3 linked regions of the Macaca fascicularis genome follow. The protein of the gene in region 2 interacts with the protein of the main gene of each other region in a biochemical or structural test. Links are inferred from orthologs where the notes say so. Each region holds a gene or a part of one and is shown on either strand. Other genes may lie near its edges.

Region 1 (7,868 bases), on a different chromosome or scaffold from region 2:
AAAATTAAAATAGTAAGAACTGAAAGTGACAAATTTCTCCTTATTTACAGATGATACAATCAGTAACAGAGGAAAAACTCAGAAGACTTATTAGGATTAATTTAAAAAGAAGTTCTTCAAAAGTGCTGGAAACAATTTCAACCAGAATATATCACCTATACCAGTAAGAACCGTAATGTATTTAAGAAGTGATCTAAGGAAGCATGTATACATTGTCATTTAAAGAACTGTAACGAAAGCCCTCAAAATTTTTCATTTTCTGTACTCCTAAAAGTATTCTAATATTCTTTTCAAAAAACTAGTATTTAGTTTTGTCAATGATTGCTGTTACTTGATAGGTATTTTATGGGATTTTTTTTCTATTCATGGATGGAACTAGTTAATACTTTACAATAGTTTATACTGTAATAGTAAACTAGTAATATTCATTTACTAACATTAGTAATACTAAACTAGTAATAAATTTATAATTGCTAATATTGTAAAGATGTCAATTCAAAGCAATTATAATGAAAATCCCAAAATCATTTCTAGGAGAACTTGACAAAAGGACTTTCAAATTCAAAAGCCCAGGCACAGTGGCTCGTGTCTATAATCCCAGCACTTTGGGAGACCGAGGCGGGCAGATCACTTGAGGTCAGGAGTTCGAGACCAGCCTGGCTGACATGGTAAAACCGTGTCTCCACCAAAAACACAAAATTAGTCAGGCATAGTGGTGAGGGCCTGTAGTCTCAGCTACTCTGGAGGCTGAGGCAGGAAGAATTGCTGGAAACCGGCAGGTGGAGGTTGCAGTTAGCCAAGATTATGCCACTGCACTCCAGCCTGGGTGACAGAGTGAGACCCTGTCTAGGGAAAAAAAAAAAATTCATATGGAGGAATAAAGGTCCACAAATAGTTAAGAAAAAGAAGAGTTAAACAATCACCTTATTTGAAAGTTAGGCCGGGCGCGGTGGCTCAAGCCTGTAATCCCAGCACTTTGGGAGGCCGAGGCGGGCGGATCACGAGGTCAGGAGATCGAGACCATCCTGGCTGACACGGTGAAACCCCGTCTCTACTAAAAAATACAAAAAAACTAGCCGGGCGAGGTGGCGGCGCCTGTAGTCCCAGCTGCTCGGGAGGCTGAGGCAGGAGAATGGCGTGAACCCGGGAGGCGGAGCTTGCAGTGAGCTGAGATCCGGCCACTGCACTCCAGCCTGGGCGGCAGAGCAAGACTCCGTCTCAAAAAAAAAAAAAAAAAAAAAAAAAAAAAAAGAAAGTTAGATGTATTACAAAGCCATGGTAATGAAACAGTGCGGCATAGCTGCAAACAAATAATACAGTGAAATGGAACAGAACTCCCCAAAACAGCCTTATGTAAACTTGTTATATAACAGAGGTGGCATTTTACACCAGTAGAGGAAAGGAAGGATTAACAGACCATGTTGGGAAAACAGTTTCTCTACAAGGAGAAAAAGTTATTATAGATCCCTACTGTATGTCATACAAACTCCAAATGGATAAAATATCTAAATATGGTAAGCATAGAATAAGGAAAATTAGATAAATGCTATCTTTAAAAAGCACACAGTAGGTGAACTGATAGGACATACATTAAATACACTAGCATGGACACCAACTGGCAGGGGAAGGAATGGTAATGGTAATAGTGGGTGAAGAAGGAAAAATAATAAAGCAAAATAAGGGCCTTGCTAGTGGCAATGATGACAGAAAGCCATGGACTAAGGAGTTACTATACTTCCGTTCACCTAAGGTCAACAAAATACAGATAGGTGTCAATCCTCAGAACTGAAGGATATCTAAGGAATATAAGAATTGTGTAAATTATGCCATAAACAGAGATTTCGATGTTTTTTTTCTAAACTCTGTCCATATTTAATAGTGACAGAAGCCTTATCTTTAAAACATTCCATGTCTCCACTTTTACACTTTCCCTTTCTTTATTCCTTTGTGCTGAACTCTGGAAACACCTCAGCTCTATTTTCCTTACTACAAAAGAAAAGGTAGCTTTCTCCTTCTTCCCCAGAAGGGAATGAGCTAGTGGCCTATAATTAATAGCACACTCTGGACCAACTCAACAGTATCAACTGGCTAAATTTGAGGGAGATTTTCCAATTTAAATACTAAAACTCATCATCTCACATCCAGGCTACTATTTACCATAACATTTATTTCCCATTACATTACTTCTGAAATAGAGAGTAACTTGGATTAATTTAACATAAATGCATCCATATTTGATTTCATAGTATTATGGGGGAAGGTGGGAAAGCTGAAAGTACACAGACATACCAGTTCTTTTATTCGTTTTCTGTGTCTACTATGTGGGTTGTTCAAATGACTGGTAAGATCAAATATTGTTGGTATTGCATTATCTCGAAGAACTGTCCTATAAGGACTCTGAAAAAGAAAAATGTGTTAATTCAGATATGATCCTTATAAATATATTACATATCAATAAAATTCTATGTTAATGACCTCCACAATATTCCTTCAACTCCAGCTCTAAAGTATAGAGGCTTATAGAACTTGATGTCAGTTCAGGTCAGTCTACTATTTCCAACTGTACCTGCATTTGCCCTTCTGGCAATCTTATTATAAATTAAGAAACTGAATTGAAGGTAGGCATAAAACATAAAATGTGCTTGCATTTTGCGTATCTGTTTCTAATTCAGCATCCCAGCTACTTTATCTTCCTGTCCTTCCAAGAGCCCACAATCTACAGGAGGTACAAGTCTCCCAAAATAATCTGCACTCTTGTATGTTCCATAATAATGCATCCCTATTTTACCTAATGTTCCACTTTTGCTAATATTACTGAGAAGTATCAAGGTACAGTGAAAATATTGGACTGGGACCCAGGAGACCTAGGAACTAGTCCAAACTCTACCAGTGAATGACTCACTAAGACACCTTGGCTAAATTACTTTCCCTTTTTGGGCCCCAGTTTCTTTTTCTGAATAAAATTCTGGTATGGAACTATTTCAACATTTCCCAAAATGAAATTATTCACATACTTAACGATCATAATGCTTGCCATTTCAGTTATATTACCATCTGTATTTTTACACAATCTACTCACACTGTCTTAAGTAATAAAAACTGTAGGCAGAATGATCTGATGTTTTTATCTTACGTTTTTAAAAATTTTATGTTTTTAACACATACTACAAAACTTCTAAAATAAAAATTGATTCATGTGCCACATGAAACCAACTCTCACACCACAAGTGATACTGATATACATAATCACATTTTTGCAAATGATAATCTAGGTATTTCTATATTTCTTTCAAGTCCTAATGATCTTATGAAAGAATGATCATACTTTACCCTACTTCCTGTTAATTTCATCCAACTTGGCTAGAAGCTGGATATATACTTAGATGGTAACAGCCCTACTGCCAGCCCTGAGGAGGCTGGGTAAGAGACAAGAAGCTTATTAAGAGGGAGAGTAATAAATAACTGCTATTACACTCCTCTCAGACAGTCCAAAGAAATAGTGCCTTTAATTTCTTCCTCAATTTGCAATGATAAAGATAAAACATACTTCATTTAAACAAGCTTTCTTGGAAGCAGTGATTATTTCAAAATATCTAAGCATGTTCAAAGAACATGCCAAACAAAAATAACAACTTCTAAATTTGTTCACCCAAAGGAGGGAGGTCAGGAAGACATGAAGGGAAAACATGTATCTAAATGGAACACACTATCTTGGGTTGTACCCAAAGAGTTGTTAAACACATTTGGGATGAATTTCTATTCAGAGTCAATATTTTCTAGTTCAATTCCATGCCATAACAGAAAGCACAAAGATGATTCTCTGACTTCCTAGTAACCCTCAACTTCTAGTTCTGGGCTCGTGATCCTGAATCTACCAGGGAGGCTGAATGAGGAATTGGTTAGGGACACAATCACTGAAGGGGGTACAAGTTATTATACTCAAAGCTCCCCCATCTTTCACACTGAGCAAATGTCCCCAAAATAAGCAAATACAAATACACAATCAACTTTCGATATCTTACCAATTATTAAATAAGGAGGGGAGGAAAAAAACATTTTAACAAATTTTTAAGTCAAATCAAATGATTTTCTATTTGCAAATAAAGCAATGACATTATAGATCGGAAAACAGAATATGTGAAAGAAAAAAATGACATTTTATAAATATTTATTTTGGCCAAGAATGTTGGCTCACACCTGTAATTCCAACACTTTGGGAAGCCATGGCCTGGTAGACAGCTTGACCCCAGGAGTTCAAGACCAGCTTAGGTAACATGGCAAAACTCCATCTCTACAAAAAATACAAAAATTAGCCAGGTATGGTGGCACATGCCTGTAGTCCCAGCTGCTTGGGAGGCTGAACGGGAAGGATTGCTTGAGCCTGGGAGGTCGAGGCTGTAGTGAGCCATGATTGCACCACTGCACCCCAGCTTAGGCAACAGAGCGAGACCCTGTCTCAAAAAATAATAATAAAAATAAGAAAAATATAAATATTTACAAGGACACATGCCAAAGAAGACAATATTCAATTACTGCTTATGATATCAAGTATCGCAGTATCAAGATTTAATTTTTAACTGCTGAATTAAGGTTTGAGCATGAAACAATAATCTTACTCTAGCATCAAAATAATAAAATATTTGGCTCAGGCCAAATTCAGTAGTCATGAATGTTTACTGATGAGATTTTTTTTTTTTTGTCTGTTTGTTTAAAGACAGGGTCTCATCATCATGTTGCCCAGGCTGGCTCTGAACTCCTAGGCTCAAGCAATCCTTCAGCCTTAGACTCCTAAGTAGCTGGGACTACAGACACGTGCCACTGTGCCTTGCCACTGATGAGATCTTCAATGTCAAACTAATAAAGCCAAAACTCTTAAACATTTAGATATGGATATCAGAAAATCCAGGGGTTTTTGTTTGCTTGTTCGTTTTTGAAACACAGTCTCACTCTGTCACCAAGACTGAAATACGGTGGCACAATCTTGGCTCACTGCAACCTCAGCCTCCTGGGTTCAAGCGATTCTTCTATTTCAGCCTCCTGAGCAGCTGTGATTACAGGCGTGCACCACCATGCCCAGCAAATTTTTCTTTTTTTTTTTGTATTTTTAGTAGAGAAGGGGTTTCCCCCTGTTGGCCAGGCTGGTCTCGAACTCCTGACCGCAAATGATCCGCCCACCTCAGCCTCCCAAAGTGCTGGGATTACAGGCGTGAGCTACCATACCCAGCCCAGAAATCCAGTTTTTAATAACATCTCCTAGATGTATAGAAAGAACATTTTCTCACATTCGGATTCATTTATTCAGGATTGAAGAATCATTTAGAAATTAAAAAAGCAAACCTGGCTCATCTTTCTGTTCTATTCTCTAAAGAATGTAAGAATGAACTATGCTTTAAATTTCTCACAATCTGGTTAGAATTATCTAATTAAGAGACCATATTTATTACTAAAATAAAAATGCAAAAATGCATATGGCAAATGTATTTAAAATAATTTGGGATATTTTTACTTAATGTCAAGAACATAAAAGTAGTTTGCCTTTTAAACATATGAAACCTTTTATTTCGGTTGATCATTATTACCCTCTTAACAAATTAAGGCAAAAATATTCCTCAAATATTTGTGATTAAACTGTTGAACCGGAACTGGCTCACCTCCCAATGACTTCACAAGTATCTGCTTCAATTAATTTTGAGAAATAAAATAACCCAATCATTCTTTAGTTTTCTGATGCCTCTGCAAAATGTATCTGAAAAAAATATCAAAATAAATTGCTGCATAACAACATATAGTGTACCTTCGAATCAAGTTTATGTCTATCCCAATATCTGAGGTGTTACATTAGTTACACTGAAACAATTCTGCTTCATTTCAATCAAATTTGCCTTATTTGTGCCTTTCATAAATCACAGCAAGAGAATCACAGAGGGTTAAAAATCTTAGAACTCAGGAATTACCTGGTCTAATCTCCTTATTAGGAACTGGGGCCCAGAGAGGGGAAGTGACTTGGCCAAGCTCACACAATTAACTGGTCTTGATATGAAATTACATACTATTGATGGAAATGTTTTTCCACATTACCTGGATAATTTGTTTACTATTACATCTAGCACATAAAAATTAAGAGTTGGTTCTAATAGTACATACAAAAACATGAAAACAAGAGCTCCATTCCAAGATGAAAATTTTACTCATAAAAAAGCTCTAAACAGCTCGAAATAAAAACACCAACTTTACCTTAAATATATACTTTTATAATCATCTAAAATTTTTCTGAAAACTAAATAATATTTAAAAGTGGTTACCTCAGCCGGGTGTGGTGGCTCATACATGTAATCCCAGCACTTTGGGAGGCCGAGGTGGGCGGGTCACTTGAGGTCAGGAGTTTGAGACTAGCCTGGCCAACATGGTGAAACCCCATCTCTACTAAAAATACAAAAATTAGCTGGGTGTGGTGGCACGTGCCTGTAATCCCAGCTACTTGAGAGGCTGAGGAGAGAAAATCGCTTGAGCCCAGGAGGTGGGGGAGGTGGCAGAGGTTGCAGTGAGCTGAGAGAGCACCACTGCACTCCAGCCTGGGTGACAAAGCGAGACTGTCTTTAAAAAAAAAAAGTAGTTACCTCGGGTGAATAGAAACGGGGCATCAGACACAGAGGAGTTTTTCTTTCTTTCTTTTTTTCTTTTTTCATCATTTTGGGTTTTTTTCCAGACAAGCTCTCATTCTGTTACCCAGAGTGGAGTGGAGTGGCATGAACACAACTCACTGCAGCCCTGACTTCCTAAGCTCAAGTGATCCTCCCATCTCAGCTTCCCAAGTAGCTGGGACTACAGGCATACGTCACCACACCTGGCTAGTTTTTTTGGTATTTTCTGTAGATATGGCGTCTGGCCATGTTGCCCAGGCTGGTCTCAAAACTCTTGAGCTCAAGTGGTCTTCCTGCCTCGGCCTCCCAAAGTGCTGGGATTATAGGTGACTGGCAAAATCAGATTTTAAGAACAAAACAGATACTATTCAGCTCCAAATCTGTCTTCATCTTAAAGTGGCAGGATATAGGAATACTTTCCAACATTGGCAAATACTTACATTTCCAACCAGACAGAGTGACAGAGAGAGAAATCAAGACAAACAGAGAGACACCAAGCTCTTCTATTACTCACAGTTCTACAGATCATAGAGGTCTCAAAATGTTTGGCACATAATCGATAATGTTTATTTAGCTGATCAGGTGTTTTATCTTCTAAGTCTGCTCTCCTACAGTTCTCCACCCACTTCTGGCATCTATAAATAAAACCAAAACACAATTATGAAAATGAGCTCAGCATTTAAATTTCAGCCTGCAGTTTTAAGGCAAACATATATTAATAACAACGGATTCCTGCTCCCCTCCCTGAGAACATAATTTGGAGAATTTTATTAATAACAAAATAACAGTTGGAAAAAACCTTAGAAATCATTTAGTAACAACACTTCAATTACAGACAAGGTTAAGAAGTAACTTGCTTGGAGGCAAGTACAAAATCAGCAGCAGAATTAGAACTGAAACCGGCATCTTCCAACTCCAGACATCAGAGAAGATCCAACCATCAGTAGAACAAGCAGAAAGCTGCATAGCCACAAGGCTAACAGCCTAACATTCCCTTCAGGATTTCAACTTCAACAAGCAAACGAAACAACACTGTCACTGTTGAAAATCAGTAATTAGATGTTCTTTAAATAACTAGTTTCTAAGGGAAGCATAAAGGCTGTATTCGTTTATCTTCCTATGAACACAAATTATTATCTATAGTAATATGTGTTGACTAGATTGCAAGCTCCATGAACGCAGGGACTGTGTCTACACAATCCAGTACACAAAAAGTACTGAAGACAG
Region 2 (7,868 bases):
GAAACCCTGTCTCTACTAAAAATACAAAAATTATCTGGGCATGGTGGCACAGTTCCTGTAATCCCAGCTACTCGGAAGGCTGAGGCAGGAGAATTGCTTGAACTGGGACCCGGAAGGCGGAAGTTGCAGTGAGCCGAGATCACGGTACTGCACTCCAACCTGGGCTACAGAGCGAGACTCCATCTCAAAAAAAAAAAAAAAAAAAAAAAAAATAGAATAACTGCACAAAGCCAGACTCAAAGGCAGGACTAATTCTAAATTCCCTACTCTCCACTATGACTTCATTGTATAATAAATAAATTACCTTCATTCATTCAGCAAACATGAGTGCCAGCATAAGCACCAGGAATGCATCAGTTAATATAACAGCCACAGGTCTCTGCCCTCACACAGCTAAAGTTCTAGCAAAATATAACTGATCATTTCCTAAGGACACCTGTGTTACCCCTATATTCAAAGGAATTTGTCAATATTTTCGTATTGCTTCAATGTCAGTTTCTTCCTCTCAAAAGCTATTAAAACGGAGACATGCAGAGATAAAGAATTTCCCTTGATTTTTCAAGATCTCAGAGGCATCCTCAAATAACAGTCTTACTTTACTTCCTTTCTATTGAGTGATATCCCGATATGTTTCCTGATAATTCTAAGCCCCAAATTAATAAACGTCCATGTTCCATTATTCACTAACCTAAACCTATTCATTCTTTATTATGTACCTGCCATCATTTTTAATTGCTTATTTAAAAAAGGTAAAACCAGGAAGAAGAATATGGAAAGCATATTTCTAACTCAAGTAAACTGAAGACATACTGTTATTTAGCTTAGTTAAGTAAGATTATTATTTATTTACATCATTTACTAAACCCCTGATTCCAATCCAAACGAGTCAGGTAATACTTGTCAGTTTCAATTATACAGGCTCTTTTCCTTTCTTTCTTTTGCAAATTTAGAGAGCTGGCAACCATTCTCTCTCTCTCTTTAATAAATTCCTATACAAAAGAATTTTTTCAAGGAAACAACAGGCTTCAAAGACAGATCAACTGGGCAGGGCCAAGTGATCCGAGCACTTTGGGAGGCCAAGGCAGGCAGATCACTTGAGGTCAGGAGTTCGGGAACAGCCTGGCCAATATGGTGAAACCCCATCACTACTGGAAGTACAAAAATTAGCCAGGCGTGGTGGTGCACACCTGTAATCCCAGCTACTCGGGAGGCTAAGGCAGAAGAACTGGTTGCAATTAGGAGGCGGAGGTTGCAGTGAGCCAAGATTGCACCATTGCACTCCAGCCTGGGTAAAAGACCAAGACTCCATTTCCAAAAAAAAAAAAAAAGAAACCAGATCAATTATATCAAATTAGCACTAAGCATCTTTTTCTTCCAGAATTAAGCCATCAGGTTTCCCCAAAAAGCAAGTCAGTTTAACATTCAAGTTTCAAAAGCATCTTTCAAATTATATTTAGCATTCTACAAGATTTAGCCTTCTTTTTTTTTTTTTTTTAACAGCTAAGCTGTTTATATTCTTCTGTAGCTTCTCTAATTTCGCAGTAAGAGCTAAGGGTTTACATACAGATGACAAAAGTATCTTTGATAAAGAGTTCCAAAAACTAACTGGAATGCAAAATCCTAGAGTAAAACCATCTCAGCGAGTAGACACGGTGGCTCAAAAGGAAAGAGAACGAGTGTGCTAAAGGGATTTTCTATGTGGACTACCTGCCTTATTGAAGCATGCTTATGAATATTAAAACATCATTTTGACTGCATTCATTTCAAGCCTCATTCAGAGACCTCAAGGTCTGAATCCCCCACAAGATGTCACAGGAATAGTAGTGACCAGGTTGTTATCATTCCCTGGAAACCGGGAACTTGCTTAGGAGCAAGATTCTTTTCTAATTGAGGAAAGCAGGGAAAAATAGATTGACCAGTTTTGCCTTAAAAAGAGTATCACAAACCAAATTTTACCATTCAAACCCTTCATTTAACTATAAGAGAAAATTAGTTTTTGATTTAAAATGCTTTATCTGAATTTGAAACAAAATATTTGCAATAAGGGCTTATAACGCTATTTTTTTAAAAACTGTTTCATTTAAATGTTCATAACTTAGTGTCACATGAAAAAAAGTATAAAACTATATATATATATATCTCCATATATATATATGGATTCTATTTTTCAAAAACTATATATTACTATATACGCCACAGTTTTCTTCCAAAAACAGGACACTGCTTTTAACCAAGGTCCTCACAACATCTAGCAGGAATCTTGTTACTTCATTCGGCTTGAACAAAACAGGGCAGCAACTGTCCTATTTTACTACACAGTTTGGGGTCACAGAGGATCATTTTATATTAGGGATATATGACATATATGTATGCTTTCTGTATATATGTTTCATACACACCGAGTGTGTGTGTGTGTATATATATATAGAGAGAGAGAATATGTATATGTGCATAAAATATAGAGTAATGTATGTGCATAGACATAAGCTGGAAAAGATAAATGCAAAATGAACAGTGATTACCTCTGGATGACATGAGAACTACATTTAAATTTTCTATTTTATTTTTTTCCTAACTTTCTACAAAAAAAAGCTAAAATACTTATTTTTCTATTGTACTGAACTGGTTTCAATGGCAGAACTCTTTCCTCCCATGGTATACCTTTCAGGTTCCACTATGGAAGAGTAATTTTCAAGCTCTCTGCCATTTTTCTAAATCGTCACCATTTCCAGGTACTCCGGTAAACTTGTTTTAAGGAAAAGGAAGCTTAAAATGTGATAATTTCCTAATCAACACTTCGGTACTGCAAATCAAATTCCTTAAAGATTTACCTTCATCATACATTTCCTCTATCAAATAGGCCTCTGCTCGGTCTTTCAGGGCATTCACATTGTCGGGTTCCATCTGTAAAACTTCAGAACAAACCCTAATAGCTTCAACAGGCTTCTCGTCCTAAAAGGAAATGTGAGAAAGGGATTTATGGTTGGTATTCCACATGATGAGTTTTCACATTTCTGGGAACAAGTCAACTGTTACCTTAGAAAAGCAATGGCAAATCCGCTCCTTTGAACGAATTGTATACTCAGCAATGCTTGGCTCTGTTTTCATGACAGATTCATATTTGCTGGTAGCATCTGTGTATCTAAGAAATGAGCAAATCATGATAAGAAACAATGACATTCGATTTCCAGAGCTGTAGAAAGGCTCCTCCCCTCTTCACCATGTGTTGCTTAATCAATCCAACTGGATGAGGCCACGGCTTCAGATTTGGCTTTTCCCTTATTAATCTTGAGTCCCATAGAAGGTACACTCCATAATTAAGAGTTAAGAAATAAAAACATCTGACCATAGGAGATGCAGATGGACAGAACAAAGCATACCTGTAAGTACCAATCAAACCAGAAGAATTTCCTTACAGAAACAAGCTCAGAATTCCGAACCTGAGTAAAATACCCTGTTGAAGTCTGACTTATACTGAGCACATTGAACAATACAGAGATCAAGTTTTATTTCTTGGTCAGTAAACACTTCCATGAAAATAACGGAACCCATTAAGTGCCATTTTATATAATTAATGTCAGTATTCACAACAAAGTACAATGTAGTTCATACAGAAGGTACCTGATTAAATTCCCAACTGTATAAGCTTTCTAAGAATAAAAGCTATTTCAGCATTTTCTTCAAACCAGTAAAAAGTACTAATCCTGTTATAGATACTCAGTTATTTTCCTCAACAATAGTAAACTAAAAAATATGTTTCTATGCCATGGTGGCACATTACTCCCAATGTGCTACAATCTTCATATGTAAATATGCTGATGTATTAAAACACAGGCTTAACTAAAACATTTAAAATAAAAGCCAGCTTCTCTATCATCCTCAGCAAACTAACACAGGAACAGAAAACCAAACACTGCATATTCTCACTCATAAGTGGGAGGTGAACAATGAGAACACATGGACACAGGGAAGGGAACATCACACACGGGGGCCTGTGTGGGGCAGGCAGCAAGGGGAGGGAGAGCATCAGGACAAATAGCTAATGAATGCGGGGCTTAATACCTAGGTAATGGGTTGATAGGTGCAGCAAACCACCTTGGCACACGTTTACCTATGTAACAAACCTCCACGTTCTGCACATACATCCTGGAACTTAAAGTAAAAGAAAAAAGCAAAAAAGCCAGCTTCTGGGAAAGTGGAATAGATGTATTTTTCCCAATTCCTCCAGCTAAGCACAACTAAAAACCCTAGAAATTAAATGTATATTTTTTAAAATAGAAAACTTTCAAAGGAGGAGAGAAGACAGACTAGCTAGTGACTCAGGACCTGAGGAAAAACATGGTAAGAAGTTCCCTGGGTTCCTTTTTTCATCTCATGTATCCCAGACTTGGAGCTGAAGATTCCAGCAATGCAGAAATGCCAACAGGTACAGAACGACAGTAACAAAAACCTGCAGAAGGCTGCTGTCTCTAGCCAGAGGACCTGAAAAGGGCAGACTTGCAAACAGAAAACTTTTTTTTTTTTTTTTGAGACGGAGTTTCGCTCTCGTTGCCCAGGCTGGAGTGCAATGGTGCAATCTCGGCTCACCGCAACCTCCGCTTCCTGGGTTCAAGTGATTCTCCCACCTTAGTCTCTGCAGTAGCTGGGATTACAGGCATGTGCCACCATGCCCAGCTAATTTTGTATTTTCAGTAGAGACAGGGTTTCTCTGTGTTGGTCAGGCTGGTCTCGAACTCCCAACCTCAGGTCCTTCAATGGATAAATGGTTAAACAAAGTGCAGTAAATCCACACCATGGAAACCATTCAACAGTAAACGAGGAATTATTGATACAATATGGATAAATCTCCAGAGAATTCGAATGAGGGGGGAAAAAGCCCATGCTGCCAGCTGTGGTAGCATGTGTCTGAAGTCCCAGCTACTCAGGAGGCTGAAGCAGAAGGATCACTCAAGGCCAACAGTTCAAGGCTGCAATGTCCTATGACTGCACCTGTGAACAGGTGTGCAACATAGTGAGATTGTCTCAAAAAAAAAAAAAAAAAAAAAAGCCAATCCCAAAAGTTTATACATTGTATGATTCTATTTATGTAACATTCTTACAATGACAAAATTCTAGAAGTAACTAGATTAGCTAAGGAAGGGATAGGAACAACAGGGAAGTAGGTGTGGCTATAAGGGCAACATGAGGGGTCCTTGTTGGGATGAAATTATTCTGTATCTTGACTGCACCCACATCAATAACTTCATTGTGACAAGGTACTATGGTTTTTCAAGGCGTTATAGTCTGCAAGATGTTGGGGGAAACTGGGTAAAGCATTCTCACGATGGTAATTTACAAAGCTACTAAAAGTAGAGGAATTAGAGCCTATTTTCTATTAGGCAGTTTTGTCTGCAGTGCCCTGTACTCTTTTCAGTCCTCCCGCCCAGCCTACAAACCCTCTACAAATAACACTCACACCGACACAGCCTCTTACTTCTGCCCACTCTTACTTTCTCTTTAGGATCAGGATTTAAATATCTATCGTCTGCTCTAAAAAAAGCTTCTCTTTCACTCCTTGCCTTCACCATCCTGGTTTGGAGTAAATACTCCTTTTCGGTACTCCAATTATCCTATGTACATTCTATCACTTTGGTATCATATTGTCTTTTAATAATCTGTTCCTATATGTGTCTCCCATGCAATGCTATAAACTTGTTAAGAACACAAACTACCATCAGCTTCGTTTCTGCACCCTCAGGACACAGCTCAGTGCCTGATATAGGAGATAATAAATATTTGGTATAATACAAGTAAGTCTGCTGGTAAGAATACTACACAGTTACTATTGTTTATATTCTTCCCTATTCCAAAAATGTCCAGTTCTGGTAGTTTTGCTAAGGCCCAGGGCTGTCTAGAATACCCCACCCTCAATGGCTGAGAAGTAAAAGCAGTTCTGTAATTCACTTGTGCCCACAGTCTAACATATAAGGAATGGCTGGACAGCTGGAACAACCGTATTCTCACCTGCCGTCTCTGATGAGCTCTTCAGCTGACTCAATCAGCTTATTAAGTTTCTTTACTTGTTTATAGTGTGCAAAACACCTTTTATGGTCCTGGTCAAGTTTAAGACATTCCCGAACTTCACTGTTCATGTATTTAAAAAAAGGAAAATACTCCATGTCAAAACAATCAATGAGTAGTTTTCCACGCTAAATACAGAAATCACAGTAAAAGTATTTTTTGTTTGCAACAATTAAACAAAAACATACTGAGACTTATAATTTACTATACACATTTATATATGGCATTGTACTATGCATACATTTGTTAATTCAAATTAAAATGACTTACTAGCATTATATAGTAAACATTCAATTTTGTTTCTAGAAATATAAGAGCCTTCCTGTTTATTTTAATAAGCAGCTTCATGAAAACAAACTGTGGAATTAAAGTAACATGGGAATAACACAAAACATATAAATGGATATACAATATAAAAATAGCCTTAACCACCATCATCTTATTAATTTAATATTAAAATGTTAAAACAAGATGAGGTTATCTTACTGCCAACAATTAAAGAAGATCAGACGTGTGTCAGTAGGACTGACCTGAGGGACAGTTCGTGGTCTCCTAGCTGGTAGTACAGTGTGCTTATTTTATAGAACGCCTCAGTATTATCATTCTTCAACTTTGATGCAGCTTTTAAGTCACTTATAGCTTTCCTAGGTTCTCCTTCTTTTATAAAACATTCAGCTCGAAGTTCCCGTAGCTCTGCATCCCAAACACAAACCTTGAGGAACAAAAGAACTAGACTTTAAGGAAGAAAATATTATGCACATTCATTGTTGCATTCCACGTATTTTTTATCTACGTATTTATCAACATAAAACATTCTCAATTAATGTGATGACTTATAGACTGCAAATATTATTTTAAAATCTGATACAATTTAAATGTGACAAAACTGATGTGACAAAATAGTTTCTCCAAAAATGTTGTAAATGAATTCTAATGGGGGAAGGGATATATATAATAACAAGGCCCTTTTCTTACCTCCTTCGATTATATAATTCTAAGACACTGAAAATAAGAAAACATAGCATTTACTATTGGAGGGTTGTTCCTAGTGAAGCATATTTGAAGAGAATATTCTGTTATCAGATTTTTATACTTAATCAACAATTCTAATTTGTAGTCAAAAAATAAAATCTAGGTTCTAAATTGGCAAACTACTTTTTTCTGCTAATAACCACATTAAATTCTTAGCTGGGCACAGTGGCTCATGCCTATAATTCCAGACCAGCTTAGGCAGCATAGCAAGATCTCATCTCCACAAAAAATTTAAAATTATTAACTGGGTGCAGTGGAACACACCGGTGGTCCCAGCTACTCAGGAGGCTGAGGTGGGAGGATCACTTGAGCCCAGGAGGTTGAGGTTACAGTGAGCTATAATCGTACCACTGCACTCCACTCTAGGTAACAGAGAGAGAGACCAAGTCTCTAAACAAAAAAATGTTTTAAGAAATTATCGGCCGGGCGCGGTGGCTCAAGCCTGTAATCCCAGCACTTTGGGAGGCCGAGACGGGCGGATCACGAGGTCAGGAGATTGAGACCATCCTGGCTAACACAATGAAACCCCGTCTCCACTAAAAATACAAAAAAATTAGCCGGGCGTGGTGGCGGCGCCTGTAGTCCCAGCTACTCGGGAGGCTGAGGCAGGAGAATGGCGGGAACCCGGGAGGCGGAGCTTGCAGTGAGCCGAGATCGCGCCACTGCACTCCAGCTTGGGCGACAGAGCGAGACTCCGCCTCAAAAAAAAAAAAAAAAAAAAAAAAAAAGAAATTATCTTCTGTAAACTGTCACCTCCTTAAAAGTAAATCCTCATA
Region 3 (7,868 bases), on a different chromosome or scaffold from region 2:
AGCCAGGCGCAGTGGCTCATGCCTGTAATCCCAGCACTTTGGGAAGCCGAGGCGGGTAGATCACCTGAGGTCAGGAGTTTGAGACCAGCCTGGCCAACACGGTGAAACCCTGTCTCTACTAAAAATACAAAAATTAGCCAGGTGTAGTGGGGGTCGCCTGTAATCCCAGCTACTTGGGAGGCTGAAGCAGGAGAATTGCTTGAACTCAGGAGGCGGAGGTTGCAGTGAGCCGAGATCATGCCACTGCATTCCAGCCTGGGCAACAGGGCAAGACTCCATCTCAAAAAAACAAAACAAAACAAAAACGAAAACAAAAACACATAGTATGGCTGTACAAAAATATTTTGTTTTGTTACATCTTTATTCTATAAGCTTTTTTCTATTTTTAGAATTTTAAACTTCTTTTTTTTTTTAACTTTTAAACTTTGTTGTTAAAAAATTAAAACATGATTGGGCACAGTGTTTCATGCCTGGGATGTCGAGGAGCCATGATTATGCCACTGTACTCCAGCCTGGGTGACAGAATGAGACCCTGTCTCAAAAAAAAAAAAAAAAAATGCTGGGCATGGTGGTTCATGCCTGTAATCCCAGCACTTTGGTAGTCAAGGTAGGTGGATCACTTGAATTTGGGAGTTTGGGATTAGCCTAGGCAACATGGTGAAACCCTCTCTGTACTAAAAATACAAAACACTAGCCAGGCTTGGTGGCACGTGCCTGTAGTTCCAGCTACTCAGGAAGCCGAGGCAGGAGGATCATGTGCCTGACATGTCATGGCTGCAGTGAGCTGTGATCTTGTGACTACACTCCAGCCTGGGCAACAGAGCAAGACCCTGTCTCAAAAAAAAAGAAAGAAAAAAATTACAACACACACACACACACCAGCCTGCCTACACAGCATCAGGATCATCAGCGTCACTGTCTTCCACCTCCACATTTTGTCCCTCTGGAAAGTGTTCAGGAGCAAAAACATACATGGAGCTATTCTTTCCTATTGTAGCAATTCCTTCTTTTGGATTACCTACCGAAGGACCTGCCTGAGACTGTTTTACAGTTTACTTTTTTTTTTTTTTTAAGTAGAAAGAGTGCCTTCTAAAATAATGATTAAAAAGTATAATAAATATATAAACCAGTAACAGTTACTTATTATTATCCAGTATTATGTACTGTACATAATTGTATGTGCCAGACTTTTTTATAAGACTGTAGCACAGTAGATTTGTTTAGAGCAGTGTCACTGCAAACATGTGAGTAATGCATGGTGCTGTAACCCAGGAGTTTGAGATTGGCCTGGGCAATATGGCGAAACCCTGTCTGTACTAAAAATACAAAAAATTAGCCATTATAGTGGCTATGACCTCACTAGATGACAGTAATTTTTTAGCTCCATTATAATCTTACGGGACCACTGTCATATATGCAGTCCATTGTTGACCAAAATGTCATTATGCAGTACATGATTATCCTTTAGATCATCTCTAGATTACTTATAATATCTCTAATACAATGTAAATGCTATGTAAATAGTTTTTTGTTGTTGTTGTTTTTTGAGACAGGGTCTTACTATCACCCAGGCTGGAGTGCAGTGGCATGATCAAGGCTCACTGCAGCCTCAGTCTCCCCAGGCTCAGGTGATCCTCCCACCTCAGCATCCCAACTGACTCGGACTACAGGCACGAGCCACCACACCTGGCCAATTTTTGTATTTTTTGTAGAGATGGAATCTCACTATGTTGTCCAGGCTGGTCTTGAACTCCTGAGCTCAAGCGATCCGCCCACCTCAGCCTCCCAAAGTGCTAGGATCGCAGGTGTGAGCCACCACAGCCAGCTATAAGTAGTTGTTATGCTGTATTGTTTAGGGAATAATGACAAGGAAAAAAACTGAATATGTTTAGTACAGATGCAACCAGCAATTTTTTTCAAATATTTTTGATTGTGATTGGTGAATCCAGGGATTTGGAACCCGTGGATATAGAGAGCCAAGTGTTTACAGAGAGCAGATAATGGAGAACCAATATACATGTGACTGGTGTCCCTGAAAATAAGAACAGAGTAAATAGTACAGAAGAAAATGATCTGAAGAGATTTCAGCAGAAAATGTTTATGAAATAAAGACTTGGCTACAGATTAAAACAACTTAATAGATACAGGAAAATTTAGAAACACCCAGACCAACATTGATTCTTTTTTTCTCTTTTATTTTTTATTTTTGAGACAGAGTCTCGCTCTGTTGCCCAGGCTGGAGTGCAGTGGCACAATCTCTGCTCACTGCAACCTCCGCCTCCCGTGTTCAAGCAATTCTCTGCCTCAGCCTCCTGAGTAGCTGAGATTACAGGCCTCCACCACCATGGCCAGCTAATTTTCTGGTATTTTTAGTAGAGACAGGGTTTCACTATGTTGGCCATGCTGGTCTTGAACTCCTGACCTCGTGATCCACCTGCCTCGGCCTCCCAAAGTGCTGGGATTACAGGCATGAGCCACCGCGCCTGGCCCCAACACTGATTCTTATGAAAGTACTGCGCTCCAGAGATGAGGAAAGAATTCTACAAGCATCTAGAGAGAAGAAGAAAACTATGTGAAATGTAAATATTTTTAAAGTTTCATGCTGTGCACAGCAACATTATAAACCAGGAGATAGTGTAGCAATGCTTATAAAATGAGACATGAAGTCATTTACATTTTAGACAACAGAGGACTATTCTCAGATTTGGAAAATTTTGGGAAAATTTAGGTTTCAAGATTCTTTCTTGAAAAATCTACTTAAAGATATCCTTCTAACCAAATTAAAAAAAAAATCAAGCAAAATTACAAATTATAATTATTAATGAGGTAGAAAATTGAGTCAAGAAGTTAGAAAAAAATAGAATGTCTTACCCCCAAAAAGCAGAAGAAAGAAAATAACAATGGTTGAAATTACTATAAAAGAAATAAAAAAGAAAAAAAATAAAGATCAATAAAACCAAAAGCTAGTTTTTTGACAAGATTAATAAAATAGCAAAACTCAGCTGGGTGTGGTGGCTCACACCTCTAATCCTAGCATTTTGGAAGTCTGAGGCAGGCAGATAACTTGAGTTTAGGAGTTCGAGACCAGACTGGGCAACATGGCCAAACCCTGTCTCTACAAAAAATACAAAAAAAGTACCCAGATGTGGTGGTGTGTACTTGTAGTTCCAGGTACTTGTGAGACTGAGACAGGAAGATCGCTTGAAACCAGGAGGTCAAGGCTGCAGTGAGCTGAGGTTGCACCACTGCACTCTAGCCTAGGTAACAAAGTGATACCCTGACTCAAAAAAATTAAAAAAAAAAATAGCAAAACTTTGGACAAGATTTTTGTTGGACTAAGAAAAAAAGGTAGAGATAACAATAGTAGAAATCACGCTATTATATTCATCTTTTTCATTAAGTTGTGATCCAGTATCTCTTGCCTCATTTTTTGAGATTAGAAAGAATATAACAAGCTAGAACGTGTTATAGTACTTTCCAAAGACAAACAAGAAAAAGCAACTTCTTTCCTATTGTTAAAATCTATCTTTGTAGATTTTTTCTGGTAGAGGGAGATAGATAGTCACACTTTTACTCAAGGTAATATAATAGAAAAATATATAACATCCAACCTGTCTTTCACATTGCTCATTTAGTAATTTTATTAGAAGAATGATTTTTAAAAGGTTAAATCTTTGTTGTCATTTATATTAAACAAGAATTTTTTTTTTCTTTGTAGGCAGTTAGTCCTTTTTCATTGACAACAACCAGTTCTTCGGAAGGATTATCCATTGGGAATTACATAGGCGTTGTCAATAGAATTGCCCAGAAGAAAAGACTAACTGTAAATTATGAACAATGTACATCGGGGGTGCATGGGCCAGAAGGGTAAGACATAATTTGGCTTTTCTTTCTGTTTCATTGTATCTAAGCAATAAAGTTGGTTTATTTTCATGTCTAATTTTCCAGAAATATGTGTCCTTTTAAACATTCTATATGGCAGGTTTTATATGATTGATAGTAATTTGATTTCTAATTTGTAATTAAAATGTTTAATTGCTGAAGCCATGGAGCCCACTTACCGTAATTGATCAAATTAGGGTAATCCTTTATTTCAGAGGTGTAGCTGGATGGTTTAGTCTGTGGAACAAGAGGGTACAGGGTGCCACTGCTCAAAGAATGCAGAGATCTTTTCGTCATTGAGGACATGATGGTGGTAACTATCTGAAAACCTCTCTGCCACATGTATAGAATGACTCTTCACCCTTGTCAGATCAGGGAGCTCTTTGTTCAGGTATTTGTCCTTCAAATTGGATTAAATGAACAAATACCATGTATCAGAAGGAATGAGTTTTAGCCGTAGACTGAGAGGAGACCAGGATTTGAGGGATCTGATGAGACAGATAAGCTAGAGTTTCAAAGTTACTAAGAACGTCACCACTGAGCTAAGATGTTCCTGGAAATGAGGATAAAGAATGGATTGGAACTGAAAAAAGCAGAAATCAAAGGAGTATGAGGCGATTGTTTTTCAACTACAACCAACCAGTTAATGAGAAAGAAGAAAAAAAAATATCTACATGGCAAATAGTTCAAATCATCACTTTAGGATACTGTTCTATGAATTGACTCAGCTATTCACAGTCATGGCTTTTGGGCCAAAACCAGGAAGAAAAACATGTGATAGTATTCATTGGAATGAAATAGTCAAAAGTGAATCTGTTGAGTCAATCTTGATAATTAAGAGACTATTTTATTTTCTGTAGCTCACTTTTTTGATTTCTTTGAATTATGCTCTCTAACGTTAGATACCTAAAAGAAAGAAGAAATCTATTTGCGGGGGGACAGTGTCTGAAAAAAATAGGAGCTATAGAAATGATCCAGTTACTCAACCCAGCTATTTAATTCAGGGTCTAGCAGGGAAGACTCACCCTGTTTGGATGTGTTTCTATCAATGGCCTTCAATAGAAGCACAAAGGAAAAGGAGTTCAAATACTGGAATCATTTTGCAGTAATATGTAGTAACTCTGTGATATAAATTACCATGTCCATTGTTTTATCCCTTAAAAATAGTTCTTATATAATTGTCCAGGTATCCTGGCCTAACCACAAATGTCCTTACGTCTAATAGGAGAGTGTGGACTTTAGTATAGGGAATCTACACTGTGGGGATTTTCTCAAATTTTTGTGCACATAAGCAGATGGCAGACAATGTTGAAGTTAGAGCAGAATCCATGCTTTGCTCTTGCCCTACGCTGTAACTTCATAGCTTCTCCTGTCAAATCCACTTTCTCTGCTGGCTTTTTCCTTCCCATTTGAGCACTGCTGAAAAAATTCACTGGACCTCTTTCTTTTCTACCTCCATATCTTTTGACCTTTGGGGAATTAAAAAACAAAAAAAATCACCACTTAGTGCCTTTGTGCCATATCTTTCAGCAAAGCAACCAAAAATTAGAAATTGCCTGGAAAACGCAAGCTCAGATGTCAACTGATCCTGGTTATTCAGAGAAATTGGTCAGGCAGGTTACTGAGGGTTTAAATTATGCAAGATATGAACTATAAATCTATCTAATAAATTGGTATTATCTTAAGATCTCTGTTAATGTTTTTTTTTTTTAATCGTAAGTTGGATTTACTATATTTTTCATGTTTGGATAAGTACCCTCTATGATTTCTCCTAGATTTCATTATAAATGCAAAATTGGAGACAAAGAATATGGTATTGGTACAGGTTCTAGTAAACAGGAAGCAAAACAGTTGGCCGCTAAACTTGCATTGCTTGAGATATCAGAAGAAACCTCAGTGGTACGTATTGCCTTTGGATTAAATTTTTATGTTTTAAAATTCCCTCTGAAGTTGACTTCAGGTTAGACTGTGGTTACATTATGCCAAGACAGCCAGTGATTTAGCAAAATGATTCCTCCATTCTGTGTCGCACCAATGAGCCATGTGCCATGGGGCCGTGGCTGGGTGTGGTGGCTCACACCTGTAATCCCAGCACTGTGGGAGGCCAGCGCAGGTGGATCTCCTGAGCGCAGGAGTTTCAGACCAGCTTGGCTTGGGCGACATGGCAAAACCATGACTCTACAAAAAAAAAAAAAAAAAAAATTAGATGCGTGTGTGGCATGTACCTGTAGTTCTAGCTACTTGGGAGGCTGAGGTGGGAGGATTGCCTGAGCCTGGGAGGTGGAGGTTGCAGTGAGCTAAGATCGTGCCACTGCACTTCAACCTGGACAGCAGAGCCAGATCCTGTCTCAAAAGAAACAAACAAAAAAATTATCTGTCCTGTGATCCAGAAAAATGAAATAAAAAATAAAATAAAATAAAATCCAGACCAAACATCCATAAAAAACGTTATTGATCTTGTAATTGTTTATGGTTGTGGATTTGGTAAATGTGTTGAAATAAATGTGATAGTACACAGAAACTGAGCCTCTGTAGAGAAATAATTAGTTGCATTTAAGCCTACTAAGGGACTCTCTTTCTTTCAGAAACCTGACTCCATGTCCTCTGGTTCTTTTGCTGCTACGTGTGACTCCCAAAGCAACCCTTTAGTGAACAACTCACTGTAAGTGTAGACAAACAGTTGAGATATTTAACATATTCATATTTCTGTCTGAAAGAGAAATGTTTATGTTTAAGGAGAATTTAGAGAAAGAAGTGATAAAAACAGAATTAATAAACTAATAGTTACACCCTTTTCTTCTAGTGCTTCTGAATCATCAGCTGAAAGTGACGTCTCAGCAGATACATCAGAGATAAATTCTAAAAGTGGCAGTTTACACATTTCTTCATTGTTTACGGTATCATATTAGTCTTGAAGCTTCCTACTTAATCTTATTTTTCTGTGCGTTTCCTCATTTAAAAATAACTTCTAGTATTCCACCATAATTTTTATATTTTTTCTTATGCACTCTTACTAAATGATAATATTCAGCAGCCTTTTTTTTTTTTTTTTTGAGGTTGAGTCTCCCTCTGTCACTCAGGCTGGAGTGCAGTGGCGAGATCTTGGCCCATTGCCACCTCCGCCTTCCAGTTCAAGCGATTCTCCTGCCTCAGCCCCCTGAGTAGCTGGGATTACATGCGCATGCACCACACCCGGCTAATTTTTGTAGAGACGGGGTTTCAACATGTTGGTCAGGCTGGTCTCGAGCTCCTGACCTCGTGTTCTGCCTGCCTCAGCCTCCCCAAGGCTGGGATTACAGGTGTGAGCCACCGTGCCCGGCTCAGCAGCGTTTTGATTCTTTTTAAAATTAAGTTCCATTCCTCACCCTTCTACACGTCACTTCTGTCTTTCCTCACTCACCCCTATATTTTAATATATTCCTATGATTTTGCTTTTCTCTCCTACCAATGGGATAATATTTAAAGATTCTCTAATATAGTTTATTTCTGTTTTAAAAAATTAGAATTAAATTTAACATTAAAAGTAAACTGAAATCAGATAACTTTTTAGCCTGGTGCAGTGGCACACGCATATAGTCTGCAGCACTTGGGAGGCCAAGGTGGGAGTATCGCTGTAGCCCAGGAGTTCGAGATCAGCCTAGGCAACATAGTGAGACCCCATCTCAAAAACAAACAAGCAAACAAACAAAAACAAACAAAAAACAGATAACTTTTTGGTGCACATAAGCAGGCAATGTTGAACTTAGAGCAAAATCTATGCTTTTGACGATTAGTGTTACAAGAGTATTCTGTTATAAAGAACTACAAAATCGATAAGAAAATGGCAAGCAACTCAGTAGAAAAATGTACAAAGTATATAAACAGATAGTTCAGAGAAGAGATACCCAAATGGGCAACAAATATTAAAAGCTGCTTTACTAGGTATCAGGAAAATGTAAATCAAAACAATTAGATACTATTTTAAACTCATTAGATTGGCAAAAAGT

The links.
Region 1: the proteins of DNAJC3 (region 2) and THAP12 form a complex in vitro, tested with the Homo sapiens proteins (2 studies listed by BioGRID). The link is inferred for Macaca fascicularis from reciprocal best matches to the Homo sapiens genes DNAJC3 and THAP12.
Region 3: the proteins of DNAJC3 (region 2) and EIF2AK2 form a complex in vitro, tested with the Homo sapiens proteins (2 studies listed by BioGRID). The link is inferred for Macaca fascicularis from reciprocal best matches to the Homo sapiens genes DNAJC3 and EIF2AK2.

What each region holds. Positions count from the first base shown.
Region 1 is NC_088388.1:75,239,352-75,247,219, forward strand, and holds part of THAP12 (52 kDa repressor of the inhibitor of the protein kinase), read right to left. Parts: intron 7,277-7,868; coding exon 7,156-7,276; intron 5,747-7,155; exon of another isoform or gene 5,652-5,746; intron 2,398-5,651; coding exon 2,290-2,397; intron 1-2,289. UniProt on the Homo sapiens protein: Upstream regulator of interferon-induced serine/threonine protein kinase R (PKR). May block the PKR-inhibitory function of DNAJC3, resulting in restoration of kinase activity and suppression of cell growth.
Region 2 is NC_088391.1:86,690,854-86,698,721, reverse strand, and holds part of DNAJC3 (dnaJ homolog subfamily C member 3), read right to left. Parts: intron 6,773-7,868; coding exon 6,591-6,772; intron 6,124-6,590; coding exon 6,004-6,123; intron 3,143-6,003; coding exon 3,037-3,142; intron 2,953-3,036; coding exon 2,832-2,952; intron 1-2,831. UniProt on the Homo sapiens protein: Involved in the unfolded protein response (UPR) during endoplasmic reticulum (ER) stress.
Region 3 is NC_088387.1:85,035,900-85,043,767, forward strand, and holds part of EIF2AK2 (interferon-induced, double-stranded RNA-activated protein kinase), read left to right. Parts: intron 1-3,718; coding exon 3,719-3,867; intron 3,868-5,657; coding exon 5,658-5,781; intron 5,782-6,467; coding exon 6,468-6,544; intron 6,545-6,685; coding exon 6,686-6,779; intron 6,780-7,868.